Lytechinus pictus: one gene and its partners. The protein of the gene in region 3 binds, or shares a complex with, the protein of the main gene of each other region. Links are inferred from orthologs where the notes say so. Each region holds a gene or a part of one and is shown on either strand. Other genes may lie near its edges.

Region 1 (6,451 bases), on a different chromosome or scaffold from region 3:
TGCTGGGAGTGCTGGAGTTGACCCAGAAAATGTGAACTAGAAAACTTGAATATGCCCAAGCATCTGAAAGCACTACTGGAGTCAAAGCAATGCCCTTTGAAACAGCATAAATATTATGCACTCCTATTATGCACTGTACAAAACAAAATATTCAAATATGTATCTTTGTCCAACAAAAAATATGTCTATATTCAGAGTGCATCAATAAGATCACACATGAGTTTATCCTTGTAGCGAGATCCTTCATTCTTTTCTTTATCAACCTTATCTTCAACTTCTCTCTTGACAACAACATCATCTCCTTTTACCCTGGCCATCATCTCAGCTGCCTCTGGTTCTATCTTAACAGCAACTTTGCTATCAATGTTCTCAACATTGTCAGGTAACGACATAAAACACCCCTGAAGAATCTCCGTCACCTTCTCCAAGTGTTTTTGGAAACGTTCTGCCGTATCAAGTCTCTGTCGTTTCTGCACCTCCATCATGACACGCAGCGTTTCCCTGGCTTGGTGTGGACGAAATTCATTGATCAAATGATGCATGTGAATGAAGAGGAGATTCATATCGTCCAACTTTTCCTCTCTCCTTGGCCCGTTCGGACAGACGATAAGTGTGTCTATGAGGTCGAGGAAGTTCACAAGAATGGAATGGTTGATTTTCTTTAGCTCCTTCTTGTGGTCGAACCGCTGCGGATGAAGACGCTTCAAACCCTGCGACTCGAGAGGACGAATGATATCATCATTGGAAACGAATGTGGCTCCAAACATTCCATATGCTTCTTGTACGGGTAGAGGAGGTTTAGGCGTGGTCTTGTTGAGTACTCGCTCATCAGTGTAGTTAGCAATATACATCATTGGAGGGAGAGGGAGAGAGCTTACTCCCTGTGGTTCATTCATGTTGTCTGCAGAAAAATAAGAGGGAAAATAAGTTAACAATATTATCAAGAAAGTGCCAATTATCTTATAGTGTGGAAATGTTTTAAATCTTATTTGATTAATTTCTTCCATCTTATTTCCTTTCAATTTCTGTTGCCGGTACATGATTAATGTATTTGGCATGGTAAATTGGTAAAAATAATACTTTCATAGCCAGCCCAATTCAAATGCCTATTTTTAGCAAACTCATTTGAGATCAATTTTTGCAAAGCTTTTCTCTCCAAAAAAAAATGCATTAATCACCTGAATTTCAGCCACACAGGGAAAAGTTATATTCTTGCTTCGATCTCTATGCTGATTGTTTTAATACTCAGTCACACTTTGTCTTTGCCAAATACATGGCCTAAGTTGACGTAAAAATTGAATTTAAAAAAAGATCAAATTTCCATTTGAACTTTTTTTTAAATCCGCGGGGGGGGGGGGGGGGGGGGTGTTTCACAAAGATTTAACTGTATGACTTAAAAGTTAAAGTCGCAATGAAACGCGCAATCCTATTGATCAATAGACAATACGTAGTGCGCGTCCTCTTGGCATGATCTGACAAATGTAGTCACGCCTGGCTTTACATGTAACGTTAGACCTAGGCTAGACCTGATGATGTATACCGCATGTGACAACTTGGACCAAAGGCTTTGGTCTCTGTCAGCGGCGTAACAGGGGTCGCGGGCCAGGGGGGCAAGAGCCAAATTTTTCCCGGATGCGAGTAAAGTGAATTGAATTTGTTAAGTCGCCAGCGTGCAAAGCGAGCTGGAAAAAAAAATTGCCTATTGAAATTAAATTCTAATTATGTGATAGATTTTTCCATTATATTCAGCAAATAACACATTTCATTGTTTCCATTCATTTCATTATACGTTGTCTCCTAAAATTTATTTTATTTCCTCTTGGGTGTGGAACCAAGACCCCCCCCCCCCCCCCCGCGCCTGTATGCCAGTGATTGAACGTCATTGAACGGGGGCGTTATAGAGCCATTTGATGGTTATAGATGAAGAGCCCCTACTGCGGGTACTGCAAAGCCCCGGTAGCTTATTTGCATAAAATTTAGCAAGCTTACATGTATAGCACAATGTTGTGTGCAGTCCATCTTTCTTCTCGCTCTTTATTTTCAATCCTTGGCAGCCCGGTCATGTTATCGTTTTTCTTTTTCTTGTCCCTTTTCTTTTTCTTATCTAGCTTTTGACTTATTCCATTCTACAATGTACCTTCGTTTCCCGCTATTGTTTGCCATTTTGTCATCTTTTAATTTATTTCCCATCATGCTATTGCATCACATAAGCCTATTTTGGAATGATTTGTTCTTTGTCAAATGTTCTTCTTTCGCACCTTTTCCCGCTTTTTTTCCTTTTCCATAAAAAAAAAAAATCTTCGTTTTCTTTTCCCTTTCCTTTTCCTCCTTTCCTCCCCCTTTCCTTCTCCCTCCCTTTTTTTCTTTTCCCTGTTTTTTTTTATTTTCCCGGTGAAATCCGCCAGGGCCCCCCCCCCCCCCCCCCCGCCTGTTACGCCACTGGTCTCTGTTATATTGGTTGTTCCGCTGAACTCCGTTGGCTCGATCCACTCACCAATTTATACAGAGACCGAAGTTCTAACTCGATCTGTACAGGGACTCAATGCCAATGGCCATACTATGTATTAAGTTTGTATAAACCAGGGAAGTGGGAGTTGCGCGACAGCTGAAGTACTCCATGTAAGTCACTGTTTTTGTTGTTTTTTTCCTTTTTTAATTTTAGTTTTATTTTTTTAAGTTTAATTTTTTCCTATTTTGGTGCATTTCAGGCCAAAATGGAATAATAACCTGGCTTTATTTTGGTCCAGTTCTTATTTATATTATATAATTTCATAATATGAAATAAAGACGAAAATCGATGAGCCCCGTCAAGGGGATTTTGCATTGTTAAACCCCTAATGGCGGCTGCATGATCGTGAGCCGTCTGTGACTGTGTACGAGGAGAAATTTAAAAAACAATGTAAAAAGAAAAACTCCTCGAAACAGACGGCTGCCAGCCGTCTGTTGACGACTCAAATGCGACCCTAAGTTAGTCATACTTGACTCTTGACCCCCCTGAACTAAGTAATTTAAGGCACATGTGCAACACTAACTTCAGAGTCAGATTAACAATCAACACAGTATTACGCAGCTGCCTTTGCCTAGCCTTCACAAGCCAGACTCCTCCCCGGAAGTTCAGGCAGGCGAAGGAATAAAATACCGCACACATGAAACTTGCAATAAAATACCGCACACATGAAACTTGCCTCGCAGTGATCGATCACCGGCAAGTCATTAAAATAACTTAAATAAGCGTAAAATTTCGTATGAACTCACATTAGCCTGGATTGATGTTTGAGCCACTCGAAGACTGAAAATTTGAAACAAATTTCGAACAGATCAGCACTAGAAATAGGCAAGGAAAAACGAAGATTTCTCTTCTGCCGTACCTCTAGTCTAGCTCTTCGGCGCGGCGCCGGCTAGCTAGCTAGCTTGGATGACAATCGTCTAAAGATGGCGCTACAGTGTTCGTTATAATGCATGAACACAAAATTAGCATTTATATTTTTTTCAAAAGCTGTATACTGTATGATTGCAAGAACATGACTTTATCTAACTTAATAGTATTAATGAAAGATAATCGACCCTATACAAGTATCCAGCCCTATCACTTTTTTTCCTTTTTTTTGCCTTCCTTTCTTTCAATATCTTCCGATCTTCGCTTCTTTATATATTTATCTCTTCTTTTTTCCATTCCTTGTTTATTCTTTCCTTTATTTCTGAATTTTAAATTCTTTAAATTGGCTGAGCATCTAGAAATATTACATTGGCTGTCATCATTATCCTTGTAACCTACAATCCAACATGAATCTATTTTTTTCTGGACTTGTCGTCTTGAAAATTATATACGTTTTTGTGTACTTTTCTAGACTGACCCCTCCCAAAGTAAGAAAATAAGGTGATCCTGAGTTTTCTCCTCTGCTCTTGTCTAGCTTCGTCCCCACATTCCCTCCTCCTCCTTCTTCTCCATCATCATCTTATTCTTCCTCTTCTTCTTTTCCCTCCTTTTCCCCCCTCTTATGAAATTATTAATTGCAATGATCACTATATCCATCTCCTGCCATGACCTTCAATGTATTACATGTACATACAGTAGGGAGGCAGCGTAGCTCAGTCGGTTAGAGCGCATGTTTCGGATAAGATCGTAGATCTCAACGTGAGGGGTTCGAGTCCCGCTCATGCCGAAACGCGTCTAACAAAAAAAGTCTGATGCTATAGCGTTGTGTGTTAGCGTGCCTCACCACTGTATTCAGTGCAGGTGTGAATACAGTTGGAAAACACTCCGTCCATCGGAAAGGACGCAAATGTTGGTCCCGTGTATAGGAGAGGTACAACCTATGCACGTTAAAACCAATACACTATTCGTCAAAGAGTAGGGTGTTCACCCGGTGTATTGCACCTGCCGGTCCCGGCAAAAATCCAGGTCAAGTACCCGATGCGTTTATGCCCAGAAGGGCCCTGCATCGTATACATCCAGATCCAGTGGTGCTAAAAAGTTTAGTGAACCCCACCAGAAAATGAATATATTTCAAGTGCTCAAGTTCTGCCTTGTATAAGACATATTTGTAATTGTGAAGTCAGGTGATAAAATATTAAATTCAATAAGGTTTGTTTCTCTGGGCTTGCTAAACATTGTAGTGCTCCTGTATCCATTGTTTGTTAGTTAGTTTGTTTATTTATTTTATGATTATTAAAAACACAATACATATTATATATATAACAAATAGATGGCATCAATTGAAATAAACAAAATGAATTGCAAATATGTTGAATATATAAAATAATCAAAAGGATTGCCCATTGAACACTCAGCATAAAGGAGTACATTTTCTGGTGGGGTGCACTAACTTTTTAACACCACTGTACACTTTACCCTCTGAACACTTCAAAGCCAATACAGACACAGAATGTGGAGAAATACACCATGCAAATGAACTTCATTTGTGAGAGACATGGAAGATTTTTTATTTATCATTGGCCCAATGATCATACAAAATATGGTAAACATATTATCGGGAACATTTTTAAAGTAAAAAAAGGGTCGAGTTTCACTGTGCCTTAGAAGTTTAGAAAGAGATGCATTGAATAATATTACTTCACATACAATCAATCATCTTTGTAATACACTTATGTATGTCATATCACAGGGCTAAAATCAAATCTATTAAGATAAAAAAAAAACTCCTGATTTGAAACGAAGAATACATTTGCTAATCAATTCCATTGCACTTTATAAGAATTTAAACCCCAGATAACTTTGATTAAATTAATCCCATCACCCACCGAAATAAATAAAACACATATTTGAAATGTGTAGGCAGTAATAGACATAACAAGTACTTACAAACATATGTCTATTAAATAAGAAATATTGTTGGAAGTACATAAGAGTAGACTTAGAATAATAACTGTAAAATCTACTGTTCAACAATGAATATTCATAGGGAGGTTTTGTTTTGAAAATATAAAGATAACGAAGAATGTCAGTTCTCTTTAAAATATGCATATTCGTAGAGATAAAAATGCAAATGAAATATTTGTATTGTGACATGAGTAGGCACATTACTATTCATGATAAATATTGTTTAAAAATGAATATTCATAGTCTTATTACTGAATGCATAGCAATGGTAATTATATGAATATTATTATTTCAAAATTTGTACTGATCACAAAACAATATCCAGTCTTTACATTGATGGATAATGGATAGGTACTGTTAAATGAATATTGATATTCAGAATTGGTACGGTACTATAAAAAATGAAGAAAAAAAATCAAATGTAAGGGCAATATAAGATGAACATTTACACAAACGTGAAATAATCCTAGGCCATTAAATTACCCCCTTTTCACTTTTGTGATCCATTTTAGCAATTCTTGGAAATTTATGATTAGTATTGAATATATTTGCTAAATGAATAATAAATGGAATTACAGTATTTTATTATTTTTTTTACAAATGATAAGAAGGCCAATAATTCTAATTGCACAACTTGTCAGCCAGACATGCATATTTTTCCAAGTTACAATAGTGAGTACATGACATCCCAATGAAAGAAATTTTTGGTTCAGAAGTATAACAAATACAATTGCAAATGAGGAATTTCCAAACAAATAAAACTTTTCAATAACCTTTTTCAATTAATCGTTGGGGTTTTTTATTGGTAGGGGAGGGGGTAGACAAAGAGGGTGAAATATTTCCTTTAGGTGGAACCTCATCAATTTTTGCAACTAAATAGCGGCAGTGAATTCAATTCTTAATTTATCTATACAAAGAATTGAGATCAATTTAGAAAAAGTTGGGTAAAAATATGTCTTCAGATGAAATATATGGTGTATACAGTACACCATAACACATAGGTAGATTTATAAATAATTTAGATACTCATCCCTATCTAACAATGAATACAAGGGGTTAAAAAAGGTTTTTATAAAAGCAGCATCTAGTTTTTCTTCTTGTGAAAGGGAA
Region 2 (6,451 bases), on a different chromosome or scaffold from region 3:
ATACCATGTAAATTTTCAGTTGATATTTATTTACAAAATATAGAGACAGGGAGAATACCTCTCTGAAATAATACAAAGTAACCATGAGAAAATGATAGATGTATGCATGCTTGGTCTACACCACTTCGTCTAGTTTGCAATATGGGTTATCTTCATTAAAAATTAATATAATAAACCCTTTATGGGTCATCTTTCCCTCCCCCATCAAAATTACCTTAGCATCAACCCTGGATGCATAATTGGGAGGATATGAAGGGGGGTTGTGATGCTCAACTTAACATTAACATTCCATTTGACATTGGGAATCATCACAATAATATCATGTGCATAAAATTCATTGCTGTTTTTATTTCAGAAAAGATAGTTTTGATGCATAACTTGTCTGTACAAAAGGGAAATAAAAATATATAAATCAAAACCAATTTCAAGTATCACTCATACATTTTTATTAATTTAATTTGATCATCACAATTCTTGGATTAACCTCAAGATTTAATTCAGCTGAGTAGCCAAAGATTTTTATTTTTTTTTAAAGGACAAACAAGAGTCATTATTCAATTCAATACCATAATTTTTTTTTACCAAAACTTGAAATAGGCTTAAACAACAGATCATTGTAGATGCACCCTGTCAAGTGCTAGGATGCTGTCAATTCAGCAATTTGGGGACTGGGTGATATTACTTTCTATAACAGAGATTAAGTGCAGGGATCAGAAATATAGCAATATCTTGTTGAAAACTGAGTTTACTGTGTAGAAAAATACAACATTTAACTAAAATTGTAGCTTTTTTGGTCTCTGAGGTTGCTTCAGCTATAATAAACTAAAGTATGTTTGCACTTTAATATAACTAAAGATATTACTACTCCAGCTTTAGTTCAATTAATCATCATCAATATGATTTGTCCATTCAATGAATAAATTCTACCAGCAGAACCATCCAAATGTGTACATCACCTGGGTCATGTGGACAAATTTCTTGAAGGAAATTACCATCCTGGAGTGGGTGTACACTTGCAACCCTTAGATTGAAAGTCAAAAGTCTGAACCACTAGACGATGTGGCTACAATAATTTGGTTGAACTGTAGGAAGTAATGCAACTTAGCTCCACTTGGTGTTCAATCTTTCTTCCAACAACGTCTTTAAATATCTTCTTCTGATATTCTCATACAAAGAAATTCCATAAGCTAACTTCAGCGGCTAGGTATTAGCCATCACAGAAGAAGCATAAATGGGATTGTATTCTTAATTATCATTTCATTGTTTGTTGTGTTGTAGATCCTTGTTGTAATGGCTTTTGTTCTTGTTGACCAGTTCTCATTTGTGAAGCCATTTGTTGATGTTGTTGCTGCTGATGTTGTGAAGCATGTTGCTGCTGTTGTTGCTGCTGATGAGGATGTTGCTGAGGTGGCAAGGGCGCTTGCATGATCCCTGCTGGCTGATTTGAAGTCCCACTTGTTGCCACTCCGCCGGCAGCTCCTGGGACTCCTTGTTGCTGCTGTTGCTGGGTGAGTTGTTGATGTTGCTGCATGTTCTCTAGATGAGACTGTTGTAGTCTCATACGCCTCCGAGTGTAGTGTTGCCAATGCAGAAGCTGCTGATCCTCAATAAACTTGACACACTGTGCATTGGCTAATTCTCTCCTAAAGTGTTCATACTGCAACAGCTCCAAGAAATGAAGACATTGTGGAAATCTAATACCAAAACAAGTAACAAATGGATCACTTTAAAAAAATCAATCAATCAAGTATTACATACACATTTAAAGGGGAAGTTCGCCCTGAAGAAAAGTTTGTTGTAAAAACAGCAGAAAAAATAATAAAAAATATTGGTGAAGGTTTGAGGATTAAAGATAAAGAAAGTTATTAGAATTCAAAGTTTTGGATTTGTGACTTCATATGCGTGCAGCATTTCTACATAGCGAATGGTAAAAAATCAATGAATTTCAAATTTTTTATGGTTCCTGATGACTTTATTTTGTTTTCTATTTATGATTGGGTGTGAAATGATTTGTCTATTGATATACAAAAGGCTCAGTAAAACCATTTTCAATTTTCTGAGAAAATGACATTTCATTGATTTTTTACCATTCGCTATGTAGGAATGCTGCTCGCATATGACGTCACAAATCCAAAACTTTGAATTCTAATAACTTTCTTAATCTTTGATGGATTATCTTCAAACCTTCACCAATATTTTTTATTACTTTTTCTGCTATTTTTACAATAAACTTTTCTTCAGGGTGAACTTCCCCTTTAAGTCTTCAAAATTCAATCTCTAATGTGTTGGTATTTACTTAAGACCAGATAACGCAAAAACATGTGCTATTTAGTACCTCTGCTATTTCGAACAGGGACTGATTCCTGTAGTCCTTTAGAGATTTGACTTTAGACACGCTCACCAGTATACATGTGTATATCTTTCTAGCACCACTTAATTTTAGCAAATTCAATTTTATTGACTCATTTTGATGCACAAGACTTTCAAACAAGCCTGGAAATTATATGTAAATAGTAGTTACTAAGCTAATGTCTGTATACTGAATTCAGTTCTAATTTGATCTCTGGTATAAAGTAATATTTCAAATATGTATAGCCAATCATGACACAAATCTCTCTTAAACAGATTCAATTTGTCAGCTTATTTCACACTCAGGCCATTCAGACCTGTCTGGGAATAATTACTAAAGGTTTCCTTCATCATTAATCATAAAGAAAGAACTCTGAAATATACTCAAGGATCACTTTTTTATCATTCTAATAATATGACAAACAACACATTTAGGATTTTATGTTGTGAAAACCTCTATTACGTATCCTCTCATAAAAAGAACACCTAATCTTGTGATAGACTACATGTAGATATGTATTAAAGTCATGGGGAAACTGTATGTGTGTGACATTACATAGCATTAGTGATCTCAATATTCAAATGCTCATAACTTTCTTATCATTCATTCAAACTTCCTCAAGCTTTCTGTTTCTATTTCTTAGAGTTTTCTCTTTTCTATGAATTCAACTGGTTTCAAGGGTTTCATTCTCTTGAAGGAATAGCACCATATATTGTGCTGGAAAAAGTATCAATTCTACAGTAGATTTTCCAAATCATATTCAATGAGTAATGGTATAAGCATACTTCTATGGGTTAAAAAAAAAAGAAAACAAAGAAAGTTGATTTGAATAAGTCTTAAATGGATTACAATCAAACTCTGATTCTTACTTGAGATATTTGGCATACTTAGGCTCCTTCCAATATTGAAGATACTGAAGATAGTTAACAAACTTTTTATCTTTGAAGTAACCTCTCTGGGCAAGAACTGTAAAATGAAAGAAAAATATCAGAATAATAATTGAAGATAAGGGATGTACCACAACGTATAAAGATTTATAACAAGTATTCTATGAACAATTGTGAGAATTCCTATCTCTTTCATTGCATATACTATTAACACAATATCAAAAGGATTTTTTTTGTTTTGTACCGTCCCAAAACAACATGGTTCAATAAAATATGAAGAGATTGTAAGGATTTTTTAAGTGTAAGCCAGTATTCTGAATTTGAAGAACATTTCAGGAACTGCATTAAGAGAGTAGAGGTATCTACTATTCATACTTACAGTTAAGATAGTGAGGGTTGGCTAGGCACTGAACAAACTCCAATTCCACTTCAAATCGGATCTGCTCTTGGTCTTGTGGAGGTTCCATTCCTTTATAAGACAAATATACAAAATAAGAATAAAGATGAAGCTGATTAGAAAATACACTTAATGTACATCTACTTTTATGATACTTAAAATTGATTTTCATTTGGCGTTACAGCTAAAAAAATCTCAAAATATATAAAAAAATTTACTTTCTTTTGACGTTATTATAGCAATATACTCTTTTATGTTGACACTTGACAGTCCTCCTTTGTCTTTTTTCTCCTTGTTCTACAAATACATTAAACTATCTAATGTACACTTGTACAGTATTGTAATGCAAGTACAGTGACTCAATAAAAATGGAGTAACTCTCACGCATATATATTATGCACTTTTGTATGTGTGTGTGAATTGTTTGCAGACATCTGCCGCCCTTTATATGCGTCTCGTAGCTTAGCTACCAACAAAGAGGACAAGATGGCCACGTAAACATCGGTAAGTTTGATCTCATCTTCTCATTATAATTTTTTTTTTTTTTTAATGTTTTAAAATATAATAAATATTGTATAAATGTCGGAATGAAAGGAGGAGAGCTAGAATGAAAAAAAAAGAAAATAATGGAAGGAGAGAAAGAACGAAAAGAAAAAGGAGAGGAAGGGAGAAAAGGAAGCAAAAAAATAAGGAAAGAAAGAATGAAGGAAATTTAAAAAGGAACAAGAAGGAAAGTAAGAGAAAGAAGGAAAGAAAAAATTAAGAGAGAGAAAGGATCAGCCTGGAAAGAAAAATAGTAAATAAAGATAGAAATTAGAATAAAAAAGGGCAAGCAGGAAGGATAGAAGAAAGAAGGATAAAAAAGAAAGAAAGAGGAAAAAATTCAAACTTCAAGCAACAAAAATCCAATCATCTAACAAAAATCATATTTGGTGTTTTTTAATACATTCTTACAATTTTTAAGAAATAAAATGTTTTAGAAATGAATAAGATTTAAAAGTGAAACATTGTCAAACTTAAAAATTAGATGAAATAACGGTGGCATCATACACAGGCATCTCCCATCTCATTACAAGTTCGCACCGATCACAACAAGACTCAAAATGAAAGCTGAAACAACTAGATCTAGTTATTTGTTGTTCCTCCCGATTCTCAAAATTTCCCGCTAAATTTGTAATTATTTTGGTGGAGAAACTGTTTATCAGGTGATAAATAATTTGGAGGGAGAAGACGTGTTTTTGCTTTGCTCTGAATATTGTCAACAAATACTTGGAAATACTTTGAAATGACTGCTTCATTTTACATTGTGTGAAAGCTAATTGGACACCAAAGCCAGTGATGTGATTTTTATTGTTTGACTTTTGAAAACTGCGACGTTATCGTCGGTAAGAACATTAATTTTCGTCAATTTTAATATTCAATCTTGTTTGAAAATCAACATCACGCGCGAGATACTAACGCGCATCACTAAGACGCATATGACTTTACGCTAAAAGGCATCTTTGAAGCGCAACATCCATCTCCATCCATCTCATCCAAATCAGGTCGGGTCAGTGTGACGTCATCGATAAACAGAGTATGCCAGGACCTAAGAAAAATCAGTCCATAACGTTCGAAGATTTCATTGAAATCAAGTCTGAACTTCAAAAACTAAACAAAACACTAACATCACAACTCAATGAAATTAAATCTGGTCAAGATGAACTTCGAAAATCTGCTGAGTTCTTCAGCGATAAAGTGGATGAGCTCACCTGCGAGGTGAAAAGGCTGAGTAGTGAGAATGCTTCTATGAAGAAAGAAAATGAGGATCTGAAAGCAAAGATGACGACACTTGAACACCAAGTGAATGATTTGGATCAATATCACAGAAGGATCAACTTAGAAGTGGCAGGTGTTCCTGAGAAGGAAGGTGAGAATGTGAGGGAGGCTGTCCTTCACGTCATGAAGAAAATTTCACCAGAGGTATCCAACGACGACATTGATGTGACACATCGACTTGGTCAGAGAAGAGAAGGTGGTCCAGCCAGACCAATCATCGTTAGATTCACGACCAGAAGGATGAGGGATACTCTATACTCAGGCCGGAAAAAACTGAGGGAAACATCAACCCGTCAACTGGGATTCTCAAGAGATGAAGGAAAGGTGTTTCTCAACGAAAATCTAGCCCCAGCTAAGAAGTCTCTCCTGAAGAAGGCAAATGACGAGAGAAAGAAGGCGGGATACATGTTCTTATGGACAGTGAATGGCACCATTCTGGTGAGGAAGAGCCCGAATGTTCCACCGGTTGCAATTCATCGAGAAGAGGATCTGAACAAAATTAAGTAAAACTCTCTTACGCATATATGTTTATATTATACTGGTGTTTTATGTAAATAATGATTGACTTTGATATGATTACGAACATTTCCAATGATTCCAATGATGTTATTAATGATATTGGAGCTAACAATGATGAACTTAAAATTGATTTAGATCCAAATGATGGGGCTTCGAGTGTCATATCCTCAAACTACTACACTCAGGCTTCAGCCAAAAACATTTTCAAAGGTTTACCTTCTTCCTGCTTGTCTATTTTGCATCTAAATATCAGAAGCCTTAACAAGAATTTTGAACAATTTCGTTTATTTTTAGATAACTCAGGTGTTCCCCAAAATACAGTAATAGGTTTAACTGAGACATGGCTGTCAGATAAATATATTAATATGAATGCACTCCCAGGTTATGATATACTTACAAATAATCGTGTTGATAAAATTGGTGGTGGTGTTGCAATTTTTGTGCCGAGTCAATTTGAGTATGTTATTATTGAAGACATGA
Region 3 (6,451 bases):
GCTTCGCGCTCGCATTATTTGATCAGTGAGATACATATCAGTTTAATGACATCGTCCTTAAAATGTCTCTATTAGGGCAGTATAACTGGTAACTGAGCGCGCTCACTATAGCGCACTCACTCAGTGATTCAAAATTTTTGCTGGTGCCCCCCCCCCATGCCGTGATCACGGTACGCCACTGTGGACATATCAATGGCAATTCCTTGCATATCTAAAAACATGATTGCAAAAAAAATGCCAAAATATTTCAGTCATCCCCCCCCCCCACCCATCAACACGGATTTACGCCAGTGCGCTCTACCAGTCAGCAAAGTGATGTACAAGTACTGCCCCGTTTCAGATCTGAAAAGAACAGAACACAACACTAAAAAACTGGTAACTCTGCAGTTGGCAAATTCATGAAGACAAGTCTACAACTTGTAGACTTGTCTACAAGTTTGCAGTTGGCAAAAAACACAAAAATGTTCTAAGTTATATTTACAAATTATGTCGCCGAAGAATTTTTTTTAATTTATGGTGTCAGAATGTGCTTGGGGTGGGGATGGGTGGGATTGGGGGCAGGTTGGGGTTGCATCATTCCTGGTGCTCGCATTGTCTGACTAATGAGATATATAGTCCTGTTGTATTTTAAGTCCATAAAGATTATGCACCAAATTATCTCCTCGCACTTCAAGTTATTATTGTTTTATGAAGTGACATCTGCTTTTTTCATGACTATATACTTAAGGTGATTGCCCCCTATTAAGGCCTTAATAAAACATTTCCAGTCTGTGCTTACGTTCGCATTGGTGTGGACCGATTTAGATACCGGGCTGGTATTAAATCAACACTGGCGTTTTTGCAGTGCACAAATTCCTAAAGACAGTCCTTAAAATGTTCCCTTTTCTGATCTAATTATAACAAATTTTCAGCTCGCGCTTCGCGTTCGCATCACTTAATTAGTGAAATAGTAAATTCCTACAAACAAGCCATAGAAGGTCCAAATTGAAAAAATTGTCAGCTCGCGCTTCTCGCCCGCAATATTTCATTAGTGAAATACGTATCATGTTAATGATTACAATGACCACAAAAAGTGCTTCATGTACCAGTGTAATTCTAACAAAATCAGCAAGCGCTTGGCGCTTTCATTAGATGACTATGATGAGATACGTACGCACTTCATAAATTCCAAAAGATAGTCCTTAAAATGTCTCTTTTTAGGGTTAAGTTAAACAAAAAATTTCAGCCCGCGCTTCGCGCTCGCATTGTTTGTTTTGTGAGACAGGTACGTATCATGATTACAAAACTTTGCTTATGTCCCTTTTAGGACTGAATATCAAACATTTTCAGCTCGCGCTTCGCGCTCGCATTATTTGATCACTAAGATACATATCCGTTTAATGGCACAGTTTTAAAATGTCTCTATTAGGTCAGTATACCTGGCAATTGAGCACGCTTCGCGCGCCCACTTAATGACTCAAAATTTTTGCTGGTGCCCCCCCCATGCCGTGACCCACGGTACGCCACTGTTAGCAGTACTTAGCACTCTTGAAATTTCAGTTGAGACATCTTGCACAGAAGGTCAATTAAAAATTAACAAATCTTTGATTTTCATATTATTAATGCATATGGGGCATTATACTGCAAGTTAGCAACATCGGCACACTATAGCCTTTCTATTTTGATCCAAAATGTTTATTTTCACAGTGCAAATATCTTTGTATATTTTTGTATAATTTACCTTAAAGTATTCACCAAATGCCACTAATTCAATTCTAAAAATTCAAAATCTTTTAGCATGTGATTATTGTGGGGGGGGGGGGCACATCCCCCATCTGCCCTGTGCTCACGTTGGCGCTGTCACGCCAAATGTAGTTGGCAAATTTAGCTGGTACACCCCCCCCCAACAAAATGCTTCTGGCTACGGCCCTGCCTGTATGGACCCTTCAATTCCTACGTTAATCACTGGCGTACAGGGGGGGGGGGGGGGGGGGGGGCATAGCTTTAAACGAGATCAGTGTGGACGCCCTCTGCGTTTGTTGACTGTCATCTGACGCTTGAAGAAAAGGAAAATAGCCCTGATAAACTGCCTCAAAAAGAGGCTTCTTTGAAGTGGTGTCGCGATATCATTTTCTTCAAAATGCAGGTAAAGTCGGAATTAATAGAATATATTTTTATTTTATGGAATTTAGGAGGCACACGTCCCATAATGAAGTCTAATTTTCCCTAAAACTTAATTCCAGTCCCTTTCGTTTAAATTTGCGTCTCCAAATCTGACTGTAAGTGCAACTGCAAGTAAGTAAGTTGAACTTCAAAGTTCAAGTAACCTATACGGTTACCCCCAAATTAAGATAATAATTAATATTGGCGAATGATACATCAAATGAAAGGTCTTTGCATTAGAAATGAAAAAAAAAGAAAATTCGTCCAACCGTTGAGGAATTATGGGTAATAAAATATCAAATTTTTCTACCGCAAAAAATGCCAAAATGTGATGGCATGACTGACATGACTGATGCCTCAAATTTTTTTGTGGTATCTAACGTTAGTCTAAATTATATATTACGTTTGAAAATTGCGCCACGTCATTCCAAGAATATTTTCCCTCGAGTCTTGCGAAACTTTTTGAGTCCAAATTTACAATACTAAGTAATTAGTATACTCTGGGGCCCGTTTCTCAACACATGGACAAGTTAGTCATATCTTTATCCACCAACCACGGAGTTAGTTCCAATCTTACTAAATCTGTTTCTCGAAAAGTTTCCTAACTAGAATACCTTGATATCGATACTATCGGTAGAAAGAGCAGACGAGACGTAGCCTTAGTCACAAAATAGCATTAATATTCAAAAAGAAAAATTATGACAAAATTGCAAATATTGTGATAAATTGGGAAATAAATATTTTCAAAATAATAGCACAGGTGAATTATGCATCATACATACTTAGACCATGAAGACTTGAGCATTCAATTGCAGAGAAAATGAAATTATGAATAATTCATTTCATGACTAAAAAATCACTTGTGGACGTTGAGATTGGGTACCCCCGGGATATCCAATTTTAATAGTTTACGAAAGTAAACCATAACGGTTTTCTTTGTAAAATGATGATAATTATGCGGTCTTTTACGATTCCGAACGTCATCAAAATATAGTTCAACAAAACATTTTTAACCATTAATACCATCATACCGGAACATACGATATTTGACAAATTATATGCATAAATTAGAGATAGAATTTATCCAACTGTTAATAGGGGTCTGAAAACAACAAATACGAGTTCAGTTATGGATGGCCTGACGTGGTAGAATATTTATCGATTAAATCATTTTACTATTTCAAAATGAATGGTTTTGTGGCGTTTTACCAATAGTTTTTATAGTTTCTTTGTATTACAATTATCATTGAATGCATTAACCCACTTGTTTTGTGATGTAACTTCAACCTCTATGATGATTACGTAAGATTATGATTTTAAAATTTCTATGCGCTTTTGCATGTCATAGTCTACCCACGTGATGCCACTACGTCATTAAGAAAGAAGTTATGACAGGTTCGGAGGTGTCATAAATATTTAGTGAGGTTGTTGTACCCGATCTTGGTAAAGAGGGCTTCGTGAAACGGTTAGCGGACAAGTAGCTCACTATCTCCGATTTAGTCAAGAAGTTAGACTTATGACGGTGTTGAGAAACGGGCCCCTGGTATGCGGATATATAGTAGGCCTAGCCTTGAAGTTGAGGACTCCATGATGATGTTTTTTAAATATTTTGACATATACTTCTTCATTATGGAGCCTTGACACTCTTTCCATAGACGCTGCAGTAAGACCTACACACCCGGATGGATTTCCCTAGGAAATCCATAGTTAAAAGGTGAAATCGGTTTGTAGAGGTGAATTTTATTTATCTATCAACCTTCATGCGCCTAGCCAGGGCAGGAGGCTTCTAGAGAGTAAAAATAATTTACTAACGTATACTTACTCTCCATGAAGCCAGGAATTCCTTTCCATTCATCTGCACGTACCGGCCAAAAACCTGAAACTTTCGCCCCTGAGATTTCTACTTCTAAAAGATCTAGCCCTAAATCATGCGCATGGGATACAACTTCATTTCCAACATTTCTACGCTATCAATTTTATTTTTAAACAAGAATTCATCCAAAAAATGAGAAAAATATTATAAAAAGACGGAAGAGACTTGCCCGATGTTTACGCCGCCATCTTGTTTCCTATTGTTCTTCCCCAACGTTACGGACGCGTCCGTCATTTTTTTCTTTTTTAATTTTAGAATCAAGACAAAGTTTTGGACAATTCTTTGGATTACATCTCGAGCAGAGTCAACGATTTGAAGAAGGCCCTAACAGACCTTCTCATGAAACTTGAACATCATCATGAAACTCTCAGTTGGTAAGTTAACACGACAGCATTATGACAATACTAATGAAAAAAAAAGAAAACAAACAACCAAAAGAAATTGAAAAAAAAATGGGTATATAATATTTTCACAGCTAAAAGCTCTCAGCCACAACTTTGTTTTTCTTAATCTACAGTTTGCACCCTTACAATATGTTGATTTTATTAAAAGAAAATAATGGCTTAAAAGAAAATAATTAAATAAATCAACCAAGTATAGCTAATGTGCTAATAAAATGCTCCGTTTGTACCACATGTATAATAAATTAAGTACCGGTATTTCAATTTTAAACCAATATATTGAATCAAAAAAAAAAAGTAAATTAATGCATGACTTTGTTCAATTTAAAGACATGAATATCCAAAATGGAATCTCAAAGTTTTCCTGTCTATTTTAATTGGTATGACCGCATTGTAGATACAGTATTTTCTCCGAAAAATTGTAGGGAAAATAGTCTAAATCTTCTATTAATCTATCTGTCTTTGCAGGCCATCTGTTCTCAACAGTTTTGCTCTATTATCAGGTATGTATTTTTTTCATTGGTCAAATTACTATAATTTCCGTTCATATTAAAGATGATATTACTCTAGCAAAGTTATTGAAAACTTTGGTTGCAGGCCAATGTATAATATGAATGTAATAATTTTTTGCTTTGTGTTATATTTTGGAATATCATGTTTGTAATATTCTGTTTGGTTTTAAGATGGTAGCATAATAAATAAAGCAATTAATATCTTATTTCAAATTACAGGTCAGATTAACACATTACATCGGCATCTCAAGAGTGATAAGACTCCAGCACTGAAGAACCTGATCATTCTCCCACTCAAACTATCACAAGATAGAGATGAAGAACTAGAGGTATGCATTTGCTTTCACAAACATTTACCTTCATTGGTGGAATACGCCACAAGGAGTGGAGATTGATACTAAGTCTAATGCAGGGCGCGACAAACCCGCTTGCCCGGGGCAAGTGAAAAGGACGTGCGGGCAAGCATTTCTCAAAGTCAATTGCCCGATCGGACAAGTGGTTGTTTTGGAAATAAAATACCAGTAGACCCTTTAAATTTCAATATCTTTTGGATAATCACAACTATCTCTCACTCATATTATGTCAAACCAGTAATAAAAAACAGTGGAAACTGATGTAAAATCAGCGCCAATTACCAATAATTTATCGCCAGGTACCTCGTTTGAAAAACCATGCCATTGCATCTTGCGTTCTATGTGTGCAATGACTGCGCATGCGCTACTATCTTGCGCAATTTGCCGATGCAAACAAACAACAAAAAAACACCAAAAGTGGCTAAAATTTCACATTTTGCAAAAATCCATGAAATGGCCATCTATTTTCCATTTTACCTTGAAATTGTTTTGATTTAGTTGGAAACTACTGAAAAAAATGAAGAATATTCAGCCCTATTTGACTCTCTTTCTTGATTCTGATTTATTATGATGTTACACTCGGTAAATGTTCTTTATTATTGTGGTCCCACATGTAGACTTTTATGGTGTTGACCAAGTGTAAAACGATCAAAACTGTTTAAAAAAAACCCCATGAAAGTCTACATGCGGGACTAGAATTAAACAAATATTGATCCAGTGTAACATCATAAAATGATGAAGAAAAGACAGAGACAGGTGAATATTCTTAATTTTCTTAATAGTTTCCAACTAATTTATTAAAAAAATTCAAGGAAATATGGGAAATAAATGACCATTTCATGGATTTAAAGATGCAAAATGTGAAATTTTAGCCACTCCACTTTTGAAAATTTTTTTTTTTACATCATAAAACGATCTTTTTCAGTGTCAATAAAGAGCTGAATACGCCCATTTATAAATGGCGAAAAAAAAATCAAAATAAACTTAATGACTCAGGCTATGTTGCTGAAAATAAACTTTTAAATGTGTGCTCTTTTATACTGTACATGATTCTCAATTGTTATTTTGTATGACCTTTAAAAATAAGAGTAGTGCCGTCATAATAAAAAAATGTAAAACAAATTGGGCATGTAGTTTTTTCTATCGGGCAAGAAACTTTTTCATCACTTG

What was found. The genes of interacting proteins can lie anywhere in the genome.
Region 1: mediator of RNA polymerase II transcription subunit 8-like (region 3) and mediator of RNA polymerase II transcription subunit 7-A-like share a complex: the UniProt entries of both Drosophila melanogaster proteins name them as parts of the mediator complex. The link is inferred for Lytechinus pictus from reciprocal best matches to the Drosophila melanogaster genes MED8 and MED7.
Region 2: mediator of RNA polymerase II transcription subunit 8-like (region 3) and mediator of RNA polymerase II transcription subunit 31-like share a complex: the UniProt entries of both Drosophila melanogaster proteins name them as parts of the mediator complex. The link is inferred for Lytechinus pictus from reciprocal best matches to the Drosophila melanogaster genes MED8 and MED31.

What each region holds. Positions count from the first base shown.
Region 1 is NC_087254.1:21,136,236-21,142,686, reverse strand, and holds the start of mediator of RNA polymerase II transcription subunit 7-A-like, read right to left. Parts: upstream 3,429-6,451; 5' UTR 3,256-3,428; intron 902-3,255; 5' UTR 897-901; coding exon 192-896; 3' UTR 1-191. UniProt on the Drosophila melanogaster protein: Component of the Mediator complex, a coactivator involved in the regulated transcription of nearly all RNA polymerase II-dependent genes.
Region 2 is NC_087246.1:17,369,066-17,375,516, reverse strand, and holds mediator of RNA polymerase II transcription subunit 31-like, read right to left. Parts: upstream 3,713-6,451; 5' UTR 3,705-3,712; coding exon 3,617-3,704; intron 3,317-3,616; coding exon 3,220-3,316; intron 1,695-3,219; coding exon 1,253-1,694; 3' UTR 9-1,252; downstream 1-8. UniProt on the Drosophila melanogaster protein: Component of the Mediator complex, a coactivator involved in the regulated transcription of nearly all RNA polymerase II-dependent genes.
Region 3 is NC_087255.1:17,124,828-17,131,278, forward strand, and holds the start of mediator of RNA polymerase II transcription subunit 8-like, read left to right. Parts: upstream 1-2,001; 5' UTR 2,002-2,119; coding exon 2,120-2,125; intron 2,126-4,270; coding exon 4,271-4,389; intron 4,390-4,884; coding exon 4,885-4,919; intron 4,920-5,147; coding exon 5,148-5,257; intron 5,258-6,451. UniProt on the Drosophila melanogaster protein: Component of the Mediator complex, a coactivator involved in the regulated transcription of nearly all RNA polymerase II-dependent genes.